Cricetulus griseus: one gene and its partners. The protein of the gene in region 1 purifies or fractionates together with the protein of each later gene. This does not show direct contact. Links are inferred from orthologs where the notes say so. Each region holds a gene or a part of one and is shown on either strand. Other genes may lie near its edges.

Region 1 (4,085 bases):
TTTTACCTTACCTGAGGCAGGGTCTTTTGTTGAGCACCACTGACAGTTTAAGGTATCTGGCCCTGGAGCTTGTAGAGGGAATTTGCTATCTCTGCCTCCCAACTCAATCCCAGTAGGTGTGCTGGAATTACAAATGTTACACTACGTCTGACTTGTCCCAACGTTTTCCTTAGACTTGCATGACAAGTGTTTTATTCATTGAGCTATCTCTCAATGTCCCGTGTTGTCAAACCCCCCCCCCCCCGTGTGTGTTTGTGTGTGTGTGTGTGCGAGCACGAGAGAGAGAGAGAGAGAGAGAAGAGAGAGAGAGAGAGAGAGAGAGAGAGAGAGAGAGAGAGAACACTTGAGCATATATATGTGTGGAGGTCAGAGGTTAGTGTTGGGTATTATCTTCAGTTGCTTCTCTGCCTTGTTTTTTTGAGAGAAGGACTCATTGAACCTAGAGCTCACAAATTGGTACACTGACTTGTCTGTAAGCTTCAGGGGTCTTCCTGTCTCTGCTTCTCGAGAGCTGGGATTACAGTTTTATATTCCTGTGCCTAGTATTTTATGTCGGTGCTGGGAGTCCAAACTCTGGTCCTCTGCTTGAGAAAGAATCCCTTTGCCATTTGAGCCATATCCTCAGGCTGTTTTTGTTGTCATTTTTAAGATTTAATTATTAGATGTGTATATGTGTGCCTTTATGAACACCCATATGCCATGAGTATATAGGTGTGGTTATGAATTACCTCATGTTTGTTGCCACCTAGTCCTGGGTCCTCTACAAGAATGGGATGCACTTTTAACCACTAAGCCATCTTTCTGCCCTCCCCCCACACCCATCAGCCTGTTTTTGTGTTTTGAGGCAAGACCTTGTTGAATCTCAGGCTGGTCTCAGGAGCAGATTGGTCTTGAACTTGGTGTGGTGCCTGCTGCCTCTGTCTTAAGAATGCTGACATTCTAAGCATTTAGGAGGAAGAAGATCCAGATTTTAAAGGCTGTCCTTGGTTATATATAGCACGTTTAGGGTTTGTCTCTGCTACATGACATCATGCCTAAAACAAAACAACATACAAAAAGTTTTATTAACAAGACTATTAAAACAGTATTGAAAAATTTCTTTCAGTATCTCTTAAGATGGACTACAGAAGCTTAGGTAATTGACTTGGTCTGAAGTAGCAAGCATATGAGAAGGTGTAGTGCATGGTCTCACATTTTAATTATAAAAAATTCTGAACACATGTAAAACTAAAGAGATAATAAAACGACCCTTTGTGCTCTTATCAAGTGTCAGTAGTTCCGTTGCCTGTTCTATGTGTTTGTTCCATATGTATTCATACTCATTTTAGATTGTTTAGAGACAGATTACATTGTCTCATTTTTTGCTTTTTAAGGTGGTTTCTTTGATCATGTCTAAATAAAATAACAGCAATTCCTTAGTAAATATCAGATTAAATTTACTCTATTAAAAAAAGAAATTGATGACCCTGACTCTCCTTGTAACCGTTTTTCTTCTGATTGTTTCCATAAGGTCCGAAAGGCTCTTCGGAGTGCAGAGGCGTATGATAACTTTCTGCGCTGTCTTGTTATATTTAACCAGGAGGTGATCTCTCGGGCTGAGCTTGTACAATTAGTCTCTCCTTTTCTGGGGTAAGTGAAGTGAGGAGCACAGCTTCTAGTACTTCTGATACGATAATGCAGAGATTGTAAAACAAAGGTAATTGAGTAGTTGTCAGAAATGACAGTGTCAGAAGGTGCCTTATAAGTCTTCTAGTATAACTTTCAGGTTGGGAAAACAGGTAGAGCTCGGCTTGGTGGCACATGCCTTTAATTCCAGCACCATAGAGGCAGAGGCAGGTGAATTCAGAATGACCTGGCTTACAGAGAGGACCACCCCCCACACCTCCCACCTCAAAAAAAAAAAAAAAGTGTTAACAGTGTATCAGCTGTGATGCGGCACTCATGGTCTCTTGATTGTCTGACCAGCACTACATGTTTATAGGCACTGATCTTCCAGGGCTCTAGAATTTTGATTATATTTGCCATCCCGGGGATTATATGAAAAGTGAGGCAATATTCTAAACAATGGCTTCTTAGCTTCTTACTGTCTTGTTGGAAAATACTACATAAGGAAAATGGAACTTAACTGGTTAAAGGATGCTTCTCAGGTAGAAAATAATTATTAACTCTGGCAGTAGAGTTGTGACCCACCATGAACTGTAATGTTGTTCCTCATAATAACTGCATCCTGCCTTGAATTGCTTACCAGCTTTTGGTTTTGTTCTTCAGGAAATTCCCTGAATTGTTTAACTGGTTTAAAAACTTTCTGGGATATAAGGAGTCTGTACATCTAGAAAGCTTTCCAAAGGAACGAGCTACAGAAGGCATTGCAATGGAGATAGACTACGCCTCTTGTAAACGACTGGGCTCTAGCTACCGAGCCCTGCCAAAAAGTTACCAGCAGCCCAAGTGTACAGGACGGACTCCTCTGTGTAAAGAGGTAAGGGTCAGCCTTGGATCTTCAGCTTCTTCAAAGCAGGGTATTGACAGATAGTACTAGGGCCAGAATTTTTTAAAGTTTTCATTTATTTTTAATATGTGTATATGTATATGAAATGTGGTCTGCTTGTGGAGATCAGAGACAACTTGTCAGTTGCTTCTCTCCTCCTACCATCTGGGTTCCCAGGATCAAATTCAGGTGGTCAGGTTTGATAGCAAGTGCCCTTATTTATCTGCTGTGAACCCTGTCTTACAAGAAAGGCCAGGATTTATATGAATTGTGAAATCATGAACCTTTTTTCAAAAGAAAATTTGTATTCAGAACTTTCCCTTACTCTATTCTTTTGTGAACTGTTTTAGTTTGGGTTTCTATTGTTCTTGATATAATACCATGCATGACCAAAGCAACTTGGGAAACCATCTATTTTATGCTTCTGTATCATTGTTCGTCACTGAAAGAAGTCAGGAGAGGAACTCAAGCAGGCCAGGAACCTAGAGGCAGGAGCTGGTGCAGAGGCCATAGAGGGGTGCTGCTTACTGGCTTGCTCAGCCTGCTTTCTTATGGAACCCAGGACCCAGCATGGAACCATACACAATGACTTGGAATCCCCTCCCCATCACTCCATTCCCAGTTAAGAGGCCTAGCTATTCTTCCACAGGTCCTTAGTTCAATTCCCAGCAACCATGTGATGGCTCACAACTATCTCTAGTGGGATCTGATGCCCTCTTCTGGCATAAAGGAGTATGTGCAGATAGGGCATGTAATTAAATAAATAAATCTTTAAAAAAAATTGAAAAATTTAAAAATTTTTCCGATCTTATAGTCTGACCTTATGGAGGCAATTTCTCAATTGAGGTTCCCTCCTTTCAACTAACTCTAGCTTGTGTCAAGCTACAAAAAAACTAACCAGGACACCAAATATTTTTTCCTCTCTATAGTATTGTCTTTTTATTGAGAATGTTTAATTACCAGTAAGTTTTAACAAGCTTTTCTGCCTCTTTTTCTACCCAAAGGTTTTAAATGATACCTGGGTTTCCTTCCCATCATGGTCTGAAGATTCCACTTTTGTTAGTTCCAAGAAGACTCAGTATGAAGAACATATTTATCGTTGTGAAGATGAACGATTTGAGGTATCCTCCTTTGTGATTTGAAGTTTGGGGAACAAGGAAGATGTGAAATGAAGGGGTATTTAAATACTCTGTGTGAGGCAGCTTAAAAAAAAAAGTGCCCTAGTGCCTGTAAGAGTTACATTTTAAAGGGGATGGCTGGGATGGGAAGATCTAGAATGAATGAATCAGCTGGTAGAGATATCCCTTATTGCAGGAAGGGAATTTCTGAAACTAGACTCAAACATCTCCAGTATTCAGATGATGTTTACTAATACCACACCAAAGGGAGTCAATTGTATTTTGCATATATGTGTTTGACTTAGTATGTTCATTACACTGTGTTGACTGGGTCTGCTTCTTCAAATCAGTGGGAGAGATCTCATACAACATTCCTCTTCAGAAGAATCACATGCTGTCTCCTCACTGACTGGTGGTTGCCATCTTTTCCCCATCTCTGTTACCGTTCTATAATTGTGATAAATCTCATTATCAAGACA
Region 2 (4,639 bases), on another chromosome or scaffold:
ATATGTTAAACCTCTGCCTGCCTCTAACACCTAATTTGTTTCCAGAGCAGCCCTGGCTGCTTTGTTCCAGTGCTGGGAGAGTACTGGACCAGTATCCTCTGTCAATACTAGAAGTGGGGACTTCAATGGTCAAAAATTCTTGAAAGTGAAGTGGCCTTGTCTATTTTGGGAATGGGGTGTTTCTGTGATTAGCTGCAATCCCAATTCCCCGGAGGAGGCAAGAGAGACAACCTCTAGGGAACAGTAACCTGAGAGGGGACAATGGAGACTCTGGAGACAAGGACAGAAAGTCCCTCTGCTCAGGGAGAAGGGCAAGAAGGTGGCAGGTAGTAAGAGGATGCTTTCTGGTGGCTTCTCATTCAGTTGTAAAATAAACCTTGTCCCCAGCATTGAGGTCACTGTCCCTCTCTAGAACACTAAGGAGCTGGTTTCTGCTTACATTCCAGGAGTTCCATCTGGCAAGAGGAGCATGCACCCTGAAGAACGGCTTGCCCCTTCCATAGGCAACCGTGGTGTCAGCAGGTCATACCTTTTATTACAAAAATCAATAACTTAATTGAGTTCTATACAAAGTCAGGAGGAATTCTGGCCTGAAGTACAGCCTCATTCATGCTCCCATCTCTGTCCCTGGCCCAAAGACTTTGGGGGGCCACCAAGGACCTATTAGGCAGTTAGTATACTGTGTCCAAACCAAGGAAGTCCAAGCTGGGGGCATGGCTGAGGTGAGGGCTGCTCCTGGGGAGTTGAAGCTCCCCTTTGGAAGCCCTGGATTCCACTCTGCAGGTCACCTCAGCCAAAGCATGTCTTCCAGCAGTTCAGCGATGTCAACATCTCCGATGATAGGGCGGAAGAAGAGATCCACCAGAAGGCTGCATGAAATGTTCTTGAGAGTAGAGGCCATGAGGAGGATTCGGGCCAGGCGGCCTTGGCTAGCAGGGTACCAGGGCTCCAGGACTTCACACAAGGCCCAGTGAGCCTCCTGCTGCAGGTGGGAGATGTGGCAAGAGGCATGGAGGCCTGGCACATCTGTGGCAGAGAGGGTGAAGAGGGCTGGTGAGCAGCTGCTCCGTGGAGGCTAGCCCAGGGTGTGAGAATGTTAGTGGCTCCCCCCCTCATATGCCGGGGTGCAATGCAGGGCCTCGTGCATACTAGGGCATGCTTGGCAGGCATTCTACATTTGGGCTGAACATTGCTGGTTCCTTTAACATGCCAGGCGATAGTTGTACCACTGAACTACATTCCCAGCCCTTACAGATACAGAAGAGACCTAATTGTTTGGTGGTGTTAGGCAACAAACCCAGGACCTGTAGCTCGGGAGGTAATACTTTACTAATGAGTTCCACGCATTGGCCCACTCTGCCACCTTGGAGGTTTCAATCACCATCTCCTACATTTTATTCCATTTATGTGGAGATAAGGGCTGAGACATACGAGTTAGAGAGATGGCTCTGTGGTTAAGGGCACTTCCTGCTATGACTGAGGACCTGAGTCCGGTTCCCACCTACATTGTGGCTCACAACTGCCTATAATTCCAATTCCTGACACCCTCTTCCGGCTTCTGTGAGCTCCCACCAGATGATACACATACATACAGGTAGAAACTTACACACATAAAATAATATCTAAATAATTCTTTTCTTATTTTGTTTTTTGAGACAGATTTTCGAGGTGGTGACACACTTTTAATCCCTGTACTTGGGAGGCAGAGGCGGTTAGATCTCTGTGAATTCAAGACCAGCCTGGTCTACAGAGCTACTTCCAGGACAGTCAGAGCTGTTACATAGAGAAACTCTGTTTCAAAAAACAAAACAAAAAGCCAAAACCAAAAAAGAACCAGAGGCCGGTTGTTCGTGGCAGGCCTTTAATCCCAGCACTCGGGAGGCAGAGGCAGGCGGATCTCTGTGAGTTCGAGGCTGGCTGAATTTGAATCCCAGCACTGCCACTGTGAGCTCAGTGATCTTGGACAAGTAGTTTCATCTTTCTGAGTGACCTTAGATGAGTAGTTTAAATCTCTGTGCCTTAGTTTCTTCATCTATCTAGTGGGAACAATGACAATACTTGTTGCCCACTACTGCTGTGAGGTTTAACCAAATCACTATTTGTAAAACCCTTAGGCTAAGTCCTGACATATGGGAAATGCATGTGATTCTTTGGTACTGTTACTGCCGTTTGGCGTTACACTTTAACTTCCAAGGCCTGTCTCTTGTCTTCCTCAAAGTTACAAAGAATATTTTCCCATGCCAGGCATGGTGTTAGTTTGAGGTCAACTTGCTTTACGTAGTGAGTTCTAGGCCAGCCAGGGTTCCGTGGTAAAACCGCCTCATTTCTCCTCATCGCCCCTCACCCCACCCCATCTGCTCTCCACCCAAGAAGTGACCACTCCCCACCCTTCCATTCTTTCTGTGTGGCCGCTCTGAACCCACGGAGGACTTTAACCTTCAGAACTTCACTGTGCAGCCTGCCCTTGAAGAAGGCAGACACTGCACACGGCGGTGTCTGCCTTACCCACTCTACCCTTCCAGCACAGCGGCAAAGACCAATCTCTGCATTAGCTTGACTTGCATTCCCAGGCCTGTTCTGCCTCTGCCTTACTGTGTGGCCTTCAGGTAGTTGCTTAACCTCCCTGTCTCTCCTGGGAGATACCTGTTTGGAGCTAACAAGGACGCAAAGAGACAACGATTCTTTTCCTGGACGGGTCCTGTCCCCTCCCAGCGTGGCCCCCATCCAGGAGTGTCTGGGAGCTCACCTGGGTTGAAGAGGATGGTTCCTTTCAAGTAGGCATACTCCTTGGGACCCAGCTCAAGGCTCCAGAAAGACTCCAGACAACGCTGGAGCCACTGCACGGCAGCCAGTGAGGGCTGTGGCCGGTCGGGTAGCTGGGTACCCTGCGTACCACTGCTGGGTTCCTCCAGAAGGATTTTTTTAAGTATACTGGGCACTGGAGCCTCAGCTATCTCAAAGGTCACAGTATCTTGGGCCAGCCCAAGCAGGAAGAGAGGGCCCCAGCAGACCCCCAGCAGCCGTCGCTGATCCTCATGGGGCAGGTGGCAGAAGGACGGCAGGTTCCTGAGGAACGCTACTGTCTTGGCTAGGACATCCAAGGCCTCCCGGCAGGTGCGCTGTGGAGCACTCAGACGGACAGGCCGGTGCTGCTGGCAGAGGCAGTGGCTGCGAGATGCGGGTGCAATGGGCCTGGCCCTGAGGCTGGGGCTTAGAAGCGCGTACAGAATAGCAGGGCGGCCTGCAGAGCCCTGGCAGGGGCAGCCCCCAGACTGGCTGGAGTTCATGGTTGGTATCTCGCTCCTGTTTCTTCCCAGCTATCGGTCCTCTGTACTGTGAGTGCTATTTATATCCTCGATGGCGGGAGGGGGAATGGCCGTGGAACCTTGACTCCAGAAGTCATGTTCATTGAAAAAAAAAAAAAAGCCAACATACACACACAATGCACACATACACTGACCCTGGCAGGACCGGAGGGGGAGGGGCACTGGAGCTCCACGTGGCGTTGCTATCGCTTTAGTCAATGAAGTGGCCATTGCAGGGCACAGGGCCACCTGCCCACTGCCTGGATGCCCTTTATCGGATGACTCAGTGTATAAACAAGGTCATTAACCCAGGCTGTACCAGGGCACCAAGGTCTCAGGTGCTCAACCAGCCAGTGGCTGTGACTGCTGCTGTTTCGATTGGAGCCCACTTTCATGCACACAAGACCAGGGTTCTCACTGAGCCAAGGAGCCAGCCAGAGAAAGCCAGCTAAGGCCTTGAATGCCTGACCCAGCCTGGAAGTGCCTTATCGCTGCTGTGTTTGCCTAACCTTGGGGCTCTGCTCCTGTTGTCGGTAAGGAACAGGCTGCAGGGAAGGGAGCCAGGTCCCTGGGGGACTTTGCTCATTGTACAGTCTAGGAGGTACCCCCTCCTGTGACTCCAGTGCAGAGGCCCCGTTGGAGGAAGGCCATTCCAGAGCCCCCTGCTCCCATTCTGTGCTCCAATAGCTCCAGAGGGGCTGGGCCTGCTGGCCCTTGCAAAATTGTTACTTACAAGGCTGCCAGTTACTGAGGACCCACTCTATATGGATCACTTTCCCTTGTAATGTTGAGAACTTCCCAGAGAAGTGACCTGCTCAAAGTCACTCCAACCAGAAGGGACAGAGCACAGATATGTCTGACCTCGAAGTCATCCTTGTTTGCCCCTCCCCCCCCCCCAATCAACTGTGCAGCTGAAGTGTGAATTTCCCAGCACAGGTGGCTAGCAGCTACCCCCACTCCCAGCCCCCAGCCCCTGCCTGGTCTGCAGGTGTGGCCCACCTATGGTGCGACTGGAAACATCTCTGCTAACACGCCGCTTCTCTGCCCTGGATATTTGTCTTCAGTGGTTAGAGGCGAGGTATGAGGGAAATGGGAGGTCCTTGGCTGTGTCAGGTTCCTGACCTTTGGCTAGCCTTGCCTAGCAGGTTTGTTGTCGCCACACTCTTGGGCAACCTGGTGCTCCGGATGAGGAGCCCTGGCATCTGGTCTTGGCTCCATGATTCCCAGTCAGCTGCTCTCCAGGGTTCTGTGAGCCTTGGTGGAGACAATCAGGGCTCCTGTGGTATTGGGACTTGACAGAGCAAGGTTCTGTGTAGGCCAAGAAGCTGCCCCCA
Region 3 (4,587 bases), on another chromosome or scaffold:
GTGTACGGGGGGCTGGGGGCAAAGACTGTTACTTCTCCTGTCAGACCTCCGTTGTCTCTCCACCCTCTTTATTCGCAAATGTACCTCCACACTGGCTTTCTGTCCCTTGTCATGCACTCATGCACTCTACCTCCCGCTGCTGCGCAGGCCTTCCAGCCCAGGCCTTTCCGTTTTACCCAGTGTGTTCTCCTGTCAGGACTTTCTCCCTAAGGTCCCCTTTCACATACCCCTCCCCTATGCGGGTCCCTTAGTTCTCCCATGCACGTCTTCGATACTTCTTCAATCCAGTCTTCGATACTTCAGTCCACCTCGACCGTGATCTCTGCTGAATTCTGACCTTGCTTCCTGCAGACCCCGTTCAGCATCCTGCTCGGTATACCAGACCCTGCGGCCTGCCAGACTCAGCTTAGCATTCCGTCCCGGGGCCGGCACCTTGCTCCGGGATCCACCTCAGCATTCTGCGCAGGAACTAGGAACCTGCTCAGCTTTCCGCCCCTCGACGGGACCCTGTGTCCCTCCTGTCTTGGTACAGCATCTCGTCCCCGCAATGGGCACCCCGCTCAGCATCCCATCCCGGAGTGGAGACGCTGCGTCCCTCCATATTCTGTTCAGCATTCATCCCCGGAGTAGGGACCCCGCGTCTCTTCTGACCCAGCTCATCATCTCGCCCTAGAGCCAGGACCTTGCTCACCATCCTCCACTGGCCCAGGACACCCTGCATTCTTCCAGACCCCGCTCAGCATTCTTCCTCGGAGCGAGGACCCTGCTCACCATCCTAACTGGGACCAGAAGATCTTGCATTCTTCCAGACCCACACCACAGCTAGGACTGAACCTGCGGCCCGTTCCCCTCCCTCGCCCGGGTAACTCTTCCCTCTTGCACTTTCTCTACTTTGAACCCATCCCAGCAGAGTCCAGGAAGTAGCCTGGCACCGGAGACCGGCAGCGGCGGCGCCCAATGGGGAACGCCAGCGGCGACGAAGGCCCCGCCCATACAGAGAATACGGCCAATATGCGCATGGAGGCGGGACTTCCGCTGTGCCGCGGCGGGCGGGGGAGCGCACTGTTGTGGTGCGGCGCGTCGGGCGGGCGGCGGCCGGGGCGGCCCAGGGGCTGCCGCGGGGACTCGGGGCGCCGCCGAGCGGCAGGGCGCTGGGGCGGGCCGTGAGCACCGCGGGGCCCGGACACGGCAGGTTCGAGGCCGGGCCCCGCGCGAGGAGCCGCGGGGTGGAGACTTTGCAGAGCAGGCGGGAGCCGGCGGGCCTCGGGAGCCCCAGGGCGGCCGGGCCCGGATCCCGGGGGAGGCTCGCGAGCCCGGGCCGGAGCCTCAGCGTGTGCATTCCCGGCGGGGCCCGGGCTGCAGGAGCACAGAGCAGCCGGGCCTCGCGGAGCTCAGAGCGCGTCTGACCCGGGGCGCACCGTGGGACTCGGGCGCGGGGCTGACGGAGAGCTGCCCCGCGGGGCTCACAGCGGCGGAGTGGCCTACAGGGGCCCTCCCCCGGAGGGGCCGGGCCGGGGCGGGGAGATGAACGGCTTCAGCACCGAAGAGGACAGCCGCGAAGGGCCCCCTGCCACCCCCGCCGCCGCCCCGGGCTACGGCCAGAGCTGCTGCCTCATCGCGGACGGCGAGCGCTGCGTCCGGCCCGCGGGCAACGCCTCCTTCAGCAAAAGGGTGCAGAAGAGCATCTCGCAGAAGAAACTCAAGCTGGACATCGACAAGAGCGTGAGTCTCGGGGATCAGCGCAGGGCCGCGGGCAGGGACCCCGGGGACGCTCGGTGCGCTGGGCCTCGCCGCGCGGTCTGTGCAGAACAGGAGACTCAGGATCGTGGAGGCCGCTCTGTGCTCCGCGACGCTGCCCGCATCCCAGAGGGTGGGCTGGGGGGCCGAGGAGGGCTCTGCACACTCTCCCTGCCTGGGAAAGTGACAGCAGTTTCCAGCTGTCACTGTTGCGCCGGATAGTAGAACAGAGAGAGGTGGGCTACTTTTGCAAGAATTTGGGGATAAGAGTTGACGAGGGGACCCGGAGGTTCTTCTCCAACTTCGTCCTCCCTTCAGGGACGTTGTCGTTCTTTCAGACACTAGCAAGGTGGCCGCGACTTTCCTGTCTCCCGCGGCCTCTGTGTCTGCAGCGCAGCACAGCCCGCTTCGCTGGCAGCGAATGAATTTTTCTGAGATGTAGCAGAAATAAGGCCAAGGCCAGGTCTTAGATGACTCTTGCAGTGGATGTGATTGGAGGGAGGCGGGGAATCAGTTTTCTTGATGGGTAACATATTTGGTAATGCAGACGGAGGCGGACATTTAAAATTGAATGGGATTGCCCTGCGCCTTGTGGCTAATTATAGGAAACTTCCTGAGTGATTTCACCTGCTCTTGTTAACGGTTATGTGCTTACTGCCAACCAGTTACGAACTTTTTAGTCTGACATCTGTTGCTGCAAGCCTTGAGTGGCAGCTTCCAGATTAAGAATTGGGACTGGGTTAAGGAACTTTTAATATTCAGGGAACTTGAATGATTAATGACCCACGTTTAGGACAGTAGTTCTCAACCTACCTAATGGTGTGACATTTTAATACAGTTTCTCATGTTGTGGTGACCCTCAACCATTAGATTACTTCTTTGCTACTCCATAACTGTAATTTTGCTACTATTATAAATCGTAATGTAAATATATGATATATGACCGGGGGGGGGGAATCGCGACCCACAGGTTGAGAACCACTGGGTTAGGGCACTCAGATATTGCCTGTTACCTGAAAAGGGAGCCTGTTTTATGCTAATGATGTGGCAGAAACTGAGGCTGGGGTAGGAAGCGATGATGCAAATGCACACTGCACTTAGGCGCTGGCTAATTTCCTAGACCAATTATCTGGCTTGCTTCCAAGCCCTACACCCAAGTTCCATTTGCCTTTAATAAATAAGGTCAACATCTTTTCTTCTAGACTCTTCTCTTGCACACTCAGTTTTATTTAGTCAGCCAGTATAGTCTGGTTCTTTTTGAACAGTGCTTTTTTTTTTATGATTGGGACTTTTTTTTTTACAAATATCTATTGATAAATTAATGAGGAATGAATGAATTATTCTGAAGCAAAAACCGGCTAGACAGTAAGGTGTCCCCTGATAATCACATGTGGGAGTGAAAAGGGAATTCTAGAATGGTAAAGAATTTATTCACTTGGAAACAGTGCCTGACTTTTCTGTGGACTGCTGGCAGTATTTCGATAAGTAGTCTCACATCTGGATGGTTTTGTTGTGGCAGTAGGGACTCCATTTACCCACTCAGCCCATGGGAAACCCCTGTGGAGCAGTGTTGAGCATCACACAGATCATCTGGTCTCCCAAAGGCTGCGCTTGGTAAGGTGTGTGGTTGGAAACAGTTCCAGTCCATTTCAAGGTGCTGGTGGGAAGAGTTTTTGTTTCATCCCACAGACTTGGGCAGGAATCCAATCCCAAGTTACTACTGTGTTACAATCAGTTTTAGCTGTTGTAGCAAGTGAAAAGAGAGGGAAAGAAAGACAACCACACACTGAGCCTTTGCCCCACCCCCATGCCCCCACCCCACCCACAGAGGCCTCTGAGCCCTGAAGTTGCTGAACATGGTTAAGGACAGAGAAAGGCTGTCTCCTAAAAGGATCTAGTGGGCACCCTTTTAAAATAAGATACCACAACCCTTCAGGTCGGACACTGGCAGCCTCTGTAATGTGTAACCAACTTGCAGTGGGCATGTTTCTCCTTTGCTTTTGCAGAGTGGCTGAAGTTGGGAATAGTATGAAGGAAATGTAGCAGGAGAAAGGGGACATTTACCAAAGCTTGGTGGGAGGACCTTGGGTCTGACATCTTCCATCTAAGATTTAGAAACACCTCATTCTGCTGCTCTCTGTTTAGCACTACACATGAGAGAAGCAGCTTGCTCTCTCAAGAGGCACATGCCAATATTACCAACCCAAGTGCCAGCTGCCAGGGGTGGGACAGGGATACATGTTCTGTAGTCTTGTATCACCTGAGTGTTACTCTTTAGGACAGTGGCACATACTTACATCTGAAAGTTTGTTGCCAAAGTGGAATCTGGCAAAGCCATCCCAGTTTGTAGCCGTGTAAGAGGTGACTCTCACCAGCATAAACTGTTTTCAGGTATGAGAGTGCCTATATTGGTGCATCAGCACTTATTGAGCGCCTGCTGTGTGCAAGACAGCATCACAATATAAATTCCAAATGACTCATGACTCACTAAAACAAACTAAAACATGACTCACATGAAACTGATAATCGTCTGAATAAACAGTTTTTGTTATTTCCTCCATAAAATGGCCTGAATTAATTGATGGTGACTTCCTGTCAGCTTACTTTTATCTTTAGGGATTTAAGGCCTAAATTTCAGTTCAAATGTCTCCACAGAACATTTGTGCACCAGCTGTCCCTACCCTACCTAGAGCCATTTACACAGGCATTGGGTTCTGTGGGGTTTTGGAATGGTTCCTCGGGGCGACTGTGGTACTCACGTTCTTAAATAAAAACACATTCTTCACATTTGAGCTGCTGTTGGCACCTTTACTAATATGCTTCAGTGTTTATTAGAAAATCAGGATAATA
Region 4 (4,878 bases), on another chromosome or scaffold:
ATTCTGATTGGACAAAGCCAAGGTCAGCCCCTGCCAGATGGGGCTAGAAACCCCAAAGGGCCAGGAAACTTGGTAGGCCCAGCTCATTAACTCTTTCATGGCTGTGGCCTGAAAAAAGAAAACTTTAGGGAAAAAAAGAGGCAAAGTAGTTAAATGGGAAAAATGAGAAGATGAAGTAAGGCAGATGATAACTGGAATAGAGAGGGAAACAGGAAAGCTCAAGCGCTTTCCTGCCCTCTAGCTTCCGTCAGCTTCGTCAATGTTTTGGCTTCACCTCCAGACGACAGGATAAGCCTCCCCCATTACTATGCAGGATTCTCAAAACAGTATCTTCCTCTCCACCTTGACCATCGCTCACTAACCACTGTCCCAAAGTACCCAAAATGTCCCCACGTGCCTTCTCTAAAGCTCTTTTCATTCCCTATCTAAGTATCTCTCCTTACACACACACACACACACACACACACACACACACACACACACACACACACACACACACACACACCACATTCTGGCTTTTCTGATCATGGTCTCCCCACCCGGCTTCCAGCCCCAGCCCCAACATGTAACAACAGGCCTTGCTCTGCAGACCAGGCACTTCCCACCTCCAAACTCATACCCTGCCTTGGGCGTGTTACCAGGGGAAACACCTGCAGGAACAAGTCTAGTCCTCAGATCCTGGGGAGGGGGGAAAGGGGAAGGAATGAAGACACTCACTAGCATTACTGTCAGCCAGGCTGTTGAGGCTACTAGAAATATCCCTTCTCCTGAAGAGACAGACAACCTTTGCTTCCACATTGCCATTGGCAGTCTAAAGAAGGAAGAAAAACAGGGCAATGAAAATTAGCCATTTGAAAGTGGAGGTACACTAACAGGCACTCTCTAAGGACTTAAGTAGAAGAGGCCAAAAACTCAGCAATGAAGACTTAATATTCAAAGATAATTACAGGACCAATGAGATGGGTCTCCATAAGTTTGCTAACCTGATCACACAGAAAGTTCCAGGCAACCAAGGCTGCAAAATAGACACTGTATATTTAAAAAAACAAAAAAAAAACAACAGAGACAGGATTCTTTTATCCCCAGATGTGAGAATGATAAAGCTTCAGCTAAGCTCTCAGCAGCTCTATACATGGAATGAACGCTCGCTCACCTGTATAGGCTCTAAGCCTAGGTAAGGCTGGCTCTCCCTTCCACTTGGAGTTAGACTCCAGAAGAAAGAAACTGCTCCATTTCTGCTCCACTCACCTTGTTTAGCTCCTCAATCCGTCTAACCAGGTAAGGATTGCTAGAGGAGTTCTCAAAATAGACGTAATCTGTAGAAGGGGGTGGGGAGAAACAAGATCAGAAGAAAACCAGAGCACCCAGAAGAGAAAGTGGATTTGGGTGGACCAAAAAAAGACAAAATGCTAGGTAGAGATGTGGAGATGTGCAAGAGGAAAGACTTAAGAAAAGAAGTATAGCTGGGTGTTGGTGATGCACGCCTTTAATCCCAGCAGAAGCAGGTGGATCTCTGTGAGTTCGAGACCAGCCTGGTCTACAAAAGCGAGTTCCAGGATAGGCTCCAAAGCTACACAGAGAAAAACCTGTCTCGAAAAACCAAAAAAAAAAAAAAAAAAAAGAAAAGAAAATAGGTATTAGAGAAGGTGGTGGCGCATGCATTTAACCCCAGCACTCAGGAGGCAGAGGCAGGTGGTTCCCTGTTGAGTTTGAGACCAGCCTGGTCTACAGAGTTAGTTCCAGGACAGCCTCCAAAGCCGCAGAGAAACTCTGTCTCGAACCCCACCCCCCATCCCCCCACCCCCGCAAAAGAAAAGTATTAGTTGGGCAGTGGTGGCCAACAGCACTCAGGAAGCCGAGGTAAGCAGATCTCTTCCAGTTCGAGGACAGCCTGGTCTATAGAGCAATTTCCAGGACAGCCAAGGATAGACAGAGAAAGCCTGTCTCGAGAAAACAAAAGAAAATAAGTATCAACCGTCTCGAGGAAAAAAAAAAAAAAAAGAACGAGAAAAGAAATAAAAGAATTATCCAGACAGTGATTGCTCACACCTTTAATCCCAGCAGAGGGAGGCAGAGGCAGGTGGATCTGAGTCCGATGCCAACCTGGTCTATTTCCTGAGTTCTAAGACAGCCGGGGGGGGGGGGCGGGGGGGGAGGGAGAAAAGTTTTTACTCCCACCCTTGCAACACTTAGCGCTAAAATCAGATTCTCACTCAAAAGTCAGATCCTAGCACTCAAGAGGATCTCTGAGTTCGAAGCCAGCCTGGTCTACAGAGTGCGTTCCAGGACTGCCAGAGCTACAGAGAATCCCTGTCTCGAAAAACCAAAGAGACAGACAGACAGAGTCGAAAAACCAAGAAGTGAGAGAGGAGGGGGAAAAAGATAACAAGGATTTCCCTGTAGTCCACACAACTCTGCATTGGAGTTGCACCCCTGCGTGGGAGAATTGAGTAAATTGTTCCCCCCACCTCAGGCCTCACCTTCGTGAACGAACAAGCCGCCAAAGAAAAGAAAACCCCTGAGCGACTGGCTCCCCGCAGCTGGCCCCGCAGTCACTCAGTCCCCTTCCAAACCAAGCCTACTTCCCACCCCGGGATCCAGTCGCAGACTCAAGAGCACCGATCGTTGTAGGTAAGCCTCTGCGGGAGACTCGGCTCCCAGTAGCGTCGCCGCCGCGGAACCATAGGTCTCGGTTCCGGTTCCGGTCGGCGCTGTGGCCCCTACGACCCCAGATGTTGCTCCCCGCGCCTGCGGACACCGAGTCTCCCTGGTCCCGTCCCCAACCTCTTCCGCCCGGTGTACTCACCTCCCACACGGTACATGTTAGCCGCCATGGCCGTTCCCGCCGCGGCCTCCGGCCGCACAAAGAGGACCCGGAGGCTCGCGGGGGTAAAGCTTAGCTCCAGACGATGCCCCCAGCGTGGGGCTGACGCTTCGCGGAAGTGTCGATGGGGCCCGCGCAGCCGGCACCTCTGCTCGCTCAGCCGTCGCGGTTCATCACTGCTCGCACGAAGACCACGACGACACTGCTATAGCCTCACGCCCGGGATACCCAGGCCGGCGCCGGTCTGCTCGGCTTCTTCCGGAACGAGCTCGGTTCCTGCCTGACCGGAGACAGATTCCGGCTCCTAGCGTCTTCACCGAGTCCCAGCAGACGCCGTATGGTGCCAGCCCCTGAGAAGGTTTGCCCTGCCCGCGTCCGGGTTCGCCTCCTTCCGGAACACCTTCGGCCGATCCGGAGAACAAGGCCCAGCGCTCGGCTCAGGTCGGAGAGCAAGACCCCGCAGATCGGCCACTTCCGGAAGGAACTCGGCTCTTTTCGCTCAGCCGCGGCCCCGCGCTCGGTTATTTCCGTTGCAGCTCGACCCCGCCCCCGAGGGCGGCAGGGAGCCGCATTTAACTCTTTACTCTATGTGTCCCTGCAGCTCCGACAGTGGCCTCGCAAGGCGCGCGCGCACCCTCGCGCTTCTTGAGGTTATTTGCAAGCCGCTTTGCCTGTTATTTGCATATTTGGTCCGAGCTCCTTTTTTCCCTTCCCGCCCTGCACTTTTTTCTTTCATCCCAACCCTACCGGGCCCCTGAGGCAACCGCCGCACTCCACAAAAGCACCAAGCGGTGACTTTCTTTCTTTTTATTGCCCCTCACCAGGCAAAGGGAGTCAGAGCTGGGGTTGCCTGGTTCAGCCAGCGAGTCGTTATCGTGTGTGCAATGGGGCGGTTCGCCCCTCCAGGAAAATGCGCAACTGGGAATGTACTGAAATCAAAGAAAAAGCCAGCCCAGGAAAAGGGCTGCACTTGGTCCTAGGGGTTTTGGCCAGGGCGGGGCAAGGCCACAGTACCAGAGGGACAAAACCATCCAGCATTCATCACACGTCCAGGGAGGAGGCAGGGGACAGAGAGGGAGTTCTAGAAGGCGTGACAGGAGAGGGCCCAGAGCCCCCAGCGCCCAACACTCGCCACTGAAAGATACTGGCGTCCTTGCCACCTAGGGAGACGAGGTATGAGTCGTCATGCGTGAACCGGACGCTAGTCACGTGACTGCCGTGGCCTGAGTACATACGGCTTGGCGCCTGCACCAGAAAAAAATGTACAGTCACAGCAGTGATAGGGTCCCAAGACTACCCACTGGGGCCCAACGGTCCTCTAAAGACTCACCTTGGCTCGAGCGCACGGATACTGGAAAAGGTGTACTTTGCAGAAGTCGTCTGCTACAGCCACCACACGTTCATTGTGGGAGCGGCAAAGGGAGTTGATGTCTGTCCCATCAGAGCCATCAGGCCACACACCTAACACAACAGGTAGCCTCAGCCAGGGCACTTTCCACAACCTAGAGCTGCAGTGCTTAGGATTTCCAGGCTACCTCCAGACAATCCTCTCCATTCCCAAAGGGACCTGTTGGCCTGGATTTGCCTCTCCCCCCCCCCCCGCCATGACACATGACACACACCCAACATTCTGATCCAAGAATGGGTTCCACCTTCTTTTCCCAGCCCTGCTAAAGGGCTCGGCTGCATGCTGGCTTCACTACTTACCATACACGTGGAAGCCTAGCACACAGGTGTAGGTAGCCCACTCCCGGTCTCTGCTCTCATAGCGATTCCTTAGAAGCTTGCAGCCTCCAGCCACGTCCCCTAGGTAGAAATTGCCCCAACCAGCTCAGCTGGGAAGGTGACCTGATCCATTATGAACCTCACTATGTGATTTCTGAGTTCTCACTGTAGTTTGATTTCGTTTGACTTTAAGACAATCTAAGTCCAGCCAGGATGGTTGTTACACACCTTTAGTCCCAGCACTCTGGAGATAGAGGCTCTGTGAGTTCAAGGCCAGCCTGGTCTACAAACCTAGTTCTAGGATAGCCAAGGGCCAAGACAAAGAAACC
Region 5 (4,857 bases), on another chromosome or scaffold:
CCAGCTCTCTGTACCTTGCTAGGTTCTCTGTCAAAGGGATGTGTAATGAACACGAGTAAAGGGGAGCAGAGAGCCAGCGAGCAAGGCATTACAGGGGGTCTTCAGTTCATGTGGTGATGATGGGATAGCCATAGGGGCGGCCTGGACTTGAGAGAGGCAGTGGAGAGGACTGCTGGAATGTTGAGAAATAGTTTTTGGATGGGGGTTTATAATTAGTATGGGATGTTCTGGGTCAGTTAAAGTTCATGCAAGTTTTTCATCTAGTAATATATTATTTGTTTGGTTTTACACAAACTTTCAGAGTGGGAGGTAAGCATCTGGGATATACCTGGATTTTGATTGGATTGGATGGGGCTGTAGGTTGGCTCTCTGTTCCTGAGTGTCTGGAAACGGTGAGCTAGGGAGCCCAAGGTCCTGAACATTGAGAGGCTTCTGACCAGAGTACTTACTCCTTTCGGGCAGAAAGGGAATAAGGTGTGTGCTAATGGGGGCGGGGACAGGGCAGTTAGTAGTTTGCCACACCCTCTCTGCTCTTGGGTGTTTGGAAGAGACTGACAGCTTCTAGAGATGGGGGAGGTTGTGACTATTATGGGATGTCCGGCCAGAAGACCTGTGTGAGGTGGTGGAGTGCAGCACAAGTATTACTGGACGTGGCACTCGGTTGTGTTGGCCGTATTATGGTGTCATGGGCTGTCCAAATAGATGGAGTAAATGATGGGACATTGCCCCAGTGTTAGGGGACAGGAGATTTAGACGTCTGTCCATTTGTGGGGTGACAGTAGAGCTGCTGCTGGTCATTAGTGAGTATCTCTTTGATAGGGAGGAACGTAATTTATGGGCCTTGGAGCTAGAAAGACCAGGAAGGCTGGGGGTGGTGATGTGAACATCTAGAACACCCTGAACACCCTGGTGTGCGGGGACTGAGGGCAGCTCTAGGGGGTTGGCTATTATGGGATATCAGTGTAGAAAGTGGGAGACTGATTATTACGGGATGTGTGTGGGAGGAGGCCGAGTGTCCGTTGTAGTGTGGGGTGGGTGAGTTTCTGACAATCATGGGATATCAAACTGGGGGTGGATGAAGGGTGGTTATTATGGGATGTCAGTGGGGGATGGGGTTGAGTATTATGGGATATGAGGCTGAAGTGATGGGAGGGGTGCTTATTATGGGATGGCCAAGGGGAGGGAGGGGTAACGAGTTATTATGGGATGTTAGCAGTAGAGCCAAGAGTGAAGAAGTTGGCAAAGAGTGGTTATTATGGGATATCTGAGGTGGGGAGCAGGTTTAGTTTGTAAAGGTCTGCAGTATATGTCAGTAGCCCCCGGGCACATATATGCATGGAGTGTTGGGGGCGGGGTGTGTGTATGTGGGGTGTCCGTGTGTATTATGGGATGGCCAGGAGGTGGGCGGTTGCCCGGGTGACGCGCGCGCGCGCTCGACGGGGGCGTGGCCAATGGTTGCCTGAGCGACGAGGGGGCGGGGGTTGCCCGGGAGACCTAGGGAGGAGGGTGGCGGTAGTGGAGGGGGGGTTGGAGTTGGTTGAGGTTATTATGGGCTGTCCGTGGGGGGGCGGGGCCTGTGCGGTGGGATTTCCCGGCCGGTGTTTCGGGCCCTTTAAGAGGCGACGCCGGAGCCGGAGCCATTTTCCCCCCTTCGGCCGCGGTGAGGAGGAGCCGGAGCGGGAGTGACACCGGCGAGACCCAGCGCGACCTGAGGCGGCTCTAGGGTGAGGGGAGCGCGAGGCTCCGGGAGAGACGTCTCTCACAGCCCGACATCATCTTGAGGGGTATCGCTTCACCTGTCCCTTCCTCCTCAGGCGTCCCGGGGCCGGCGGGCCGTTCCCGGGCCGGGGAGCCGACCCTGTTCCTCCTCCCCTGAGGCGTCCGGGTTGCCCCCAGGCCGTCGCCCTGCCCTGAGGGAGTCGTGCTCCCCGCGCCCCTCTCCGGGGCTCGGCCTCCCACAATGCCGGGCGCCCGCCCCTCGCCCTTTGCTCGCTGGCCCCCCGGGACACGTGGCCCGGCCCCCTTCTCGGTGGGAGCTCGTCTCCGCCGGCGTCCCGACTCCTCGGGACCCTGGAGCGCCCGAGCCTCCACGCCCCCTGGTCCCCGCCGTTCCGGAAGAGAACCCGAGTTGTCCCAGAGGGACAGCCTTTGGAGAGCTGCCCTGTCTGGGGACTGGCCCCTCCCCGGGCTCAGAGAGGCGCCCCCCCCACTCCCAAGTGACCTTGTGTCCCCGAGCACCGGCCGCCTCCCTGACCCCTCCGCGCCTCGCCCGCCACTCGGACCCCCTCCTCAGGCTCCCCCGGTTCACTCTCGCCCAGCGAGTCCCCACCCCACCGTGCACCAGCCTGACCTCGGGGGCATCGCTCCCTCTTCGTGGGGGCTCCTGCCGGGGAGCCGGCTCGCGGGCGGGCGGTCCCCGAGGAGTGTGGAACTAAGTTCAGCCTGAGTGCTTCGGGTGCTCGGCTGGGGTGGCAGGGCCGGGGAGGGGGGGGCGGAAAGAGCGAGTGGGGGAGGGGGACTGCGCGTCACTCACTGTTCTCCCCCCTCCCCCGCACAGTGACTCGGGCCAGTGTAGAGGGCCCCAGGCCGCAGGCAGGAGCAGCTGGGCCAATTCCCTGGCCGGGGAGCGGAAGGGGATGGCGTCGGGCCTGGGCTCCCCGTCCCCCTGCTCAGCGGGCAGTGAGGAGGAGGATATGGATGCACTTCTGAACAACAGCCTGCCCCCACCCCATCCAGGTAACGTCTTCCCAGAGCGCCCAGGGCAGGAAGTGTTTGATCTTTCCTGGAGACTGGAGTGAGGCTGGGTGTGCGCTTGTCTCCTGCCTGCAGAGCCCAGGGCGGAGGGCATCCGAAGGGAGTGGTTCTCTTCTGCGGAGCTCTTGTGTCTTGGGAGGGGGGAGCCATGCGCCTCCTGGCCACCGCGGACCCAGATGTAAGCTGGCTGTACTCAAGGCTGTCTGGAATACTCCGCAGTTCCCAGTTGAGGGAGCTCTCTGGGCTAGCAGGCATTTACCTTGTGCAGGTTCTTAGGAATGCAGGTGGCTGGGACTCCTGGAGACTGGTGACACGGTGGGGAGCGTTGAGATTTCTGTTGTAGGAGCCCTGCCAGGCATTTGGGATCCCGCAGTTGTTCTCGGGAAAAGAAAGTGGGAGTGTTGGTTGGTTGCTCTCTGTCCGATTATTTTTAGCTTGTAATCAGTTACCGGTTTTCTGCGCAGTTTCAGGAGTGCGAAGTTTGAATCTCGCTCCTTGTCGGATCTAGAGAACTTTTAGCTAGGCAGATTATTGGGATTTTTTTGAGTGAGGAAGGGATGGGGGGACTAGGAGGATGCAGTACCCGAGTAAGGAGAGGCAGAGTGAAGGAAGGGGACTCCTTTTCCCCCGGAGTGGACATAATCCTGGCTTCCTTCCTAGAGGCTTCGGCCACTCCGAAGTAGTTTGGGGTCTGGGTTAGTGGTGTGAGGTGTTTGTGTGGGTGTGTTAGGGTTTGCACTATCGGTGTTTTGGGGTGGCTCCTTGGACTGGCCAAACCCGTAAAGTTATAACCAGCTTGCCCAAGTGCCTGTTCTCAAGTGATGGTTGATGTCATGCTTATAAGTGGATTTCTTCTCTTGTCTCCTTATTCAGAGCCCCGTAGTTGAGACACCTATTGGTTTATTGACTCCCTGTTCACTTAAAAAAATTTTAAATTTAAATTAAAAAAAGCAAGTCCTTCCCTACCATTCTGGAGTCTGGTGGTCTTGATTTTTTTGTTTTTGTTTTTGTGGTTTTTCTATGTAACAGCCCTGGCTGTCCTGGCATCTGCTTTGTAGACCAGCCTGGCCTCGAACTCACAGAGATACAATTGCCTCTGCCTCCTGAGTGCTGGGATTAAATGGTGTCCACCACCATGGCCAGGCCTGTTTTTGTTTTTTATGACATGGTTTTCACTTCTGCCTTTTCCTTAGATCCAACTGGATTTTGAGGTAGCCCAAAGAAATGCTTTTTAAATTAAATTTGCCTTTTTCTTTTCTTTTTTCTTGAGACAGGGCTTCTCTTTGTAGCCCTGGCTGTCCTGGAACTCACTCTGTAGATTAGGCTATCCTCCAACTCACAGAGATGAACCTGCCTCATGAGTATTGGGATTAAAGACGTGTGCTACCACTGCTCAGCAAATGTGACATTTTCTGATTTGAAATTATTTACTTCACAGTCCCAGGCCATTTAAGAGAGCTGTTACCTTTGGCCACTGGGATAAGGGACTTAGATTTGCATCTCATCACTGAGGTGTAAGGCTGCAGATTCCTGTGCCTTTATGGGGTGGTGGTAAGGAAGAAGGCTTACTTTCCTTCATATTCTTTGTGAGGGGCAGGATGAGTAGTGCTGTCCCACCAGTGTTGGTCCTCAGCGTAGCCTTTGGGCTATTATCCCTTTGGTCTAGGGCTTTCCTCCCGAGTTGAGTGTGAGCTATGCAGTCTCTCAGTGTGAACTCTGCCCCACTGTGTAGCTTGACCCAGTTTTTCCACATGACACACCCAATTTGCCCCTTTCCCAAATCTTCCTTTCTGTCTCCTGCAGTGTGTTGCTTGTCATTTCAGCGTGTGATTGCCTGAGGAGTTTGAGGGGTGCATGCGGACGGAGAGGCAGGCATTGCTTTGCCTCCATGTGCTTGTCCTTGTCTCTTCTGCTCTGTAGGCAAAGATGAAGAAGGGTGCAACTGATTGAGGGGTACTGTAAGGGCTGTGGGGGAGAAGCCTTTAAGAAAATGATCGTTTGGGAATGAGAGGGGTCTTCTAACCTGACTTGATACTGGAATGAGTGAAAATGGGAGGCCTATGGTGCTTGTACAGCCTTAGGGCCTGTCTAACTTTGCAAGGG

The links. Proteins that work in one complex are often made in the same cells at the same time.
Region 2: the proteins of Sin3a (region 1) and Nr0b2 purify together in Homo sapiens (affinity purification with western blotting; 3 studies listed by BioGRID). This does not show direct contact. The link is inferred for Cricetulus griseus from reciprocal best matches to the Homo sapiens genes SIN3A and NR0B2.
Region 3: the proteins of Sin3a (region 1) and Sap30l purify together in Homo sapiens (affinity purification with western blotting; 4 studies listed by BioGRID and IntAct, with this or other methods). This does not show direct contact. The link is inferred for Cricetulus griseus from reciprocal best matches to the Homo sapiens genes SIN3A and SAP30L.
Region 4: the proteins of Sin3a (region 1) and Mta2 purify together in Homo sapiens (affinity purification with mass spectrometry; 4 studies listed by BioGRID, with this or other methods). This does not show direct contact. The link is inferred for Cricetulus griseus from reciprocal best matches to the Homo sapiens genes SIN3A and MTA2.
Region 5: the proteins of Sin3a (region 1) and Chd4 purify together in Homo sapiens (affinity purification with mass spectrometry; 3 studies listed by BioGRID, with this or other methods). This does not show direct contact. The link is inferred for Cricetulus griseus from reciprocal best matches to the Homo sapiens genes SIN3A and CHD4.

Annotation. Positions count from the first base shown.
Region 1 is NC_048597.1:168,627,312-168,631,396, forward strand, and holds part of Sin3a (paired amphipathic helix protein Sin3a), read left to right. Parts: intron 1-1,510; coding exon 1,511-1,629; intron 1,630-2,268; coding exon 2,269-2,479; intron 2,480-3,492; coding exon 3,493-3,609; intron 3,610-4,085. UniProt on the Homo sapiens protein: Acts as a transcriptional repressor. Corepressor for REST. Interacts with MXI1 to repress MYC responsive genes and antagonize MYC oncogenic activities. Also interacts with MXD1-MAX heterodimers to repress transcription by tethering SIN3A to DNA.
Region 2 is NC_048595.1:19,709,974-19,714,612, forward strand, and holds Nr0b2 (nuclear receptor subfamily 0 group B member 2), read right to left. Parts: upstream 3,288-4,639; coding exon 2,747-3,287; intron 1,027-2,746; coding exon 785-1,026; 3' UTR 523-784; downstream 1-522. UniProt on the Homo sapiens protein: Transcriptional regulator that acts as a negative regulator of receptor-dependent signaling pathways. Specifically inhibits transactivation of the nuclear receptor with which it interacts.
Region 3 is NC_048600.1:71,858,226-71,862,812, forward strand, and holds the start of Sap30l (histone deacetylase complex subunit SAP30L), read left to right. Parts: upstream 1-1,300; 5' UTR 1,301-1,524; coding exon 1,525-1,722; intron 1,723-4,587.
Region 4 is NC_048596.1:51,151,561-51,156,438, forward strand, and holds the start of Mta2 (metastasis-associated protein MTA2), read right to left. Parts: upstream 3,288-4,878; 5' UTR 2,835-3,287; coding exon 2,807-2,834; intron 2,534-2,806; exon of another isoform or gene 2,481-2,533; intron 1,317-2,480; coding exon 1,249-1,316; intron 812-1,248; coding exon 718-811; intron 1-717. Other genes in the region: Eml3 (echinoderm microtubule-associated protein-like 3), read right to left, coding at 3,866-4,069, 4,155-4,285, 4,532-4,630. UniProt on the Homo sapiens protein: May function as a transcriptional coregulator. Acts as a component of the histone deacetylase NuRD complex which participates in the remodeling of chromatin.
Region 5 is NC_048601.1:21,330,570-21,335,426, reverse strand, and holds the start of Chd4 (chromodomain-helicase-DNA-binding protein 4), read left to right. Parts: upstream 1-1,570; 5' UTR 1,571-1,724; intron 1,725-1,761; exon of another isoform or gene 1,762-1,784; intron 1,785-2,557; 5' UTR 2,558-2,636; coding exon 2,637-2,736; intron 2,737-4,857. UniProt on the Homo sapiens protein: ATP-dependent chromatin-remodeling factor that binds and distorts nucleosomal DNA. Acts as a component of the histone deacetylase NuRD complex which participates in the remodeling of chromatin.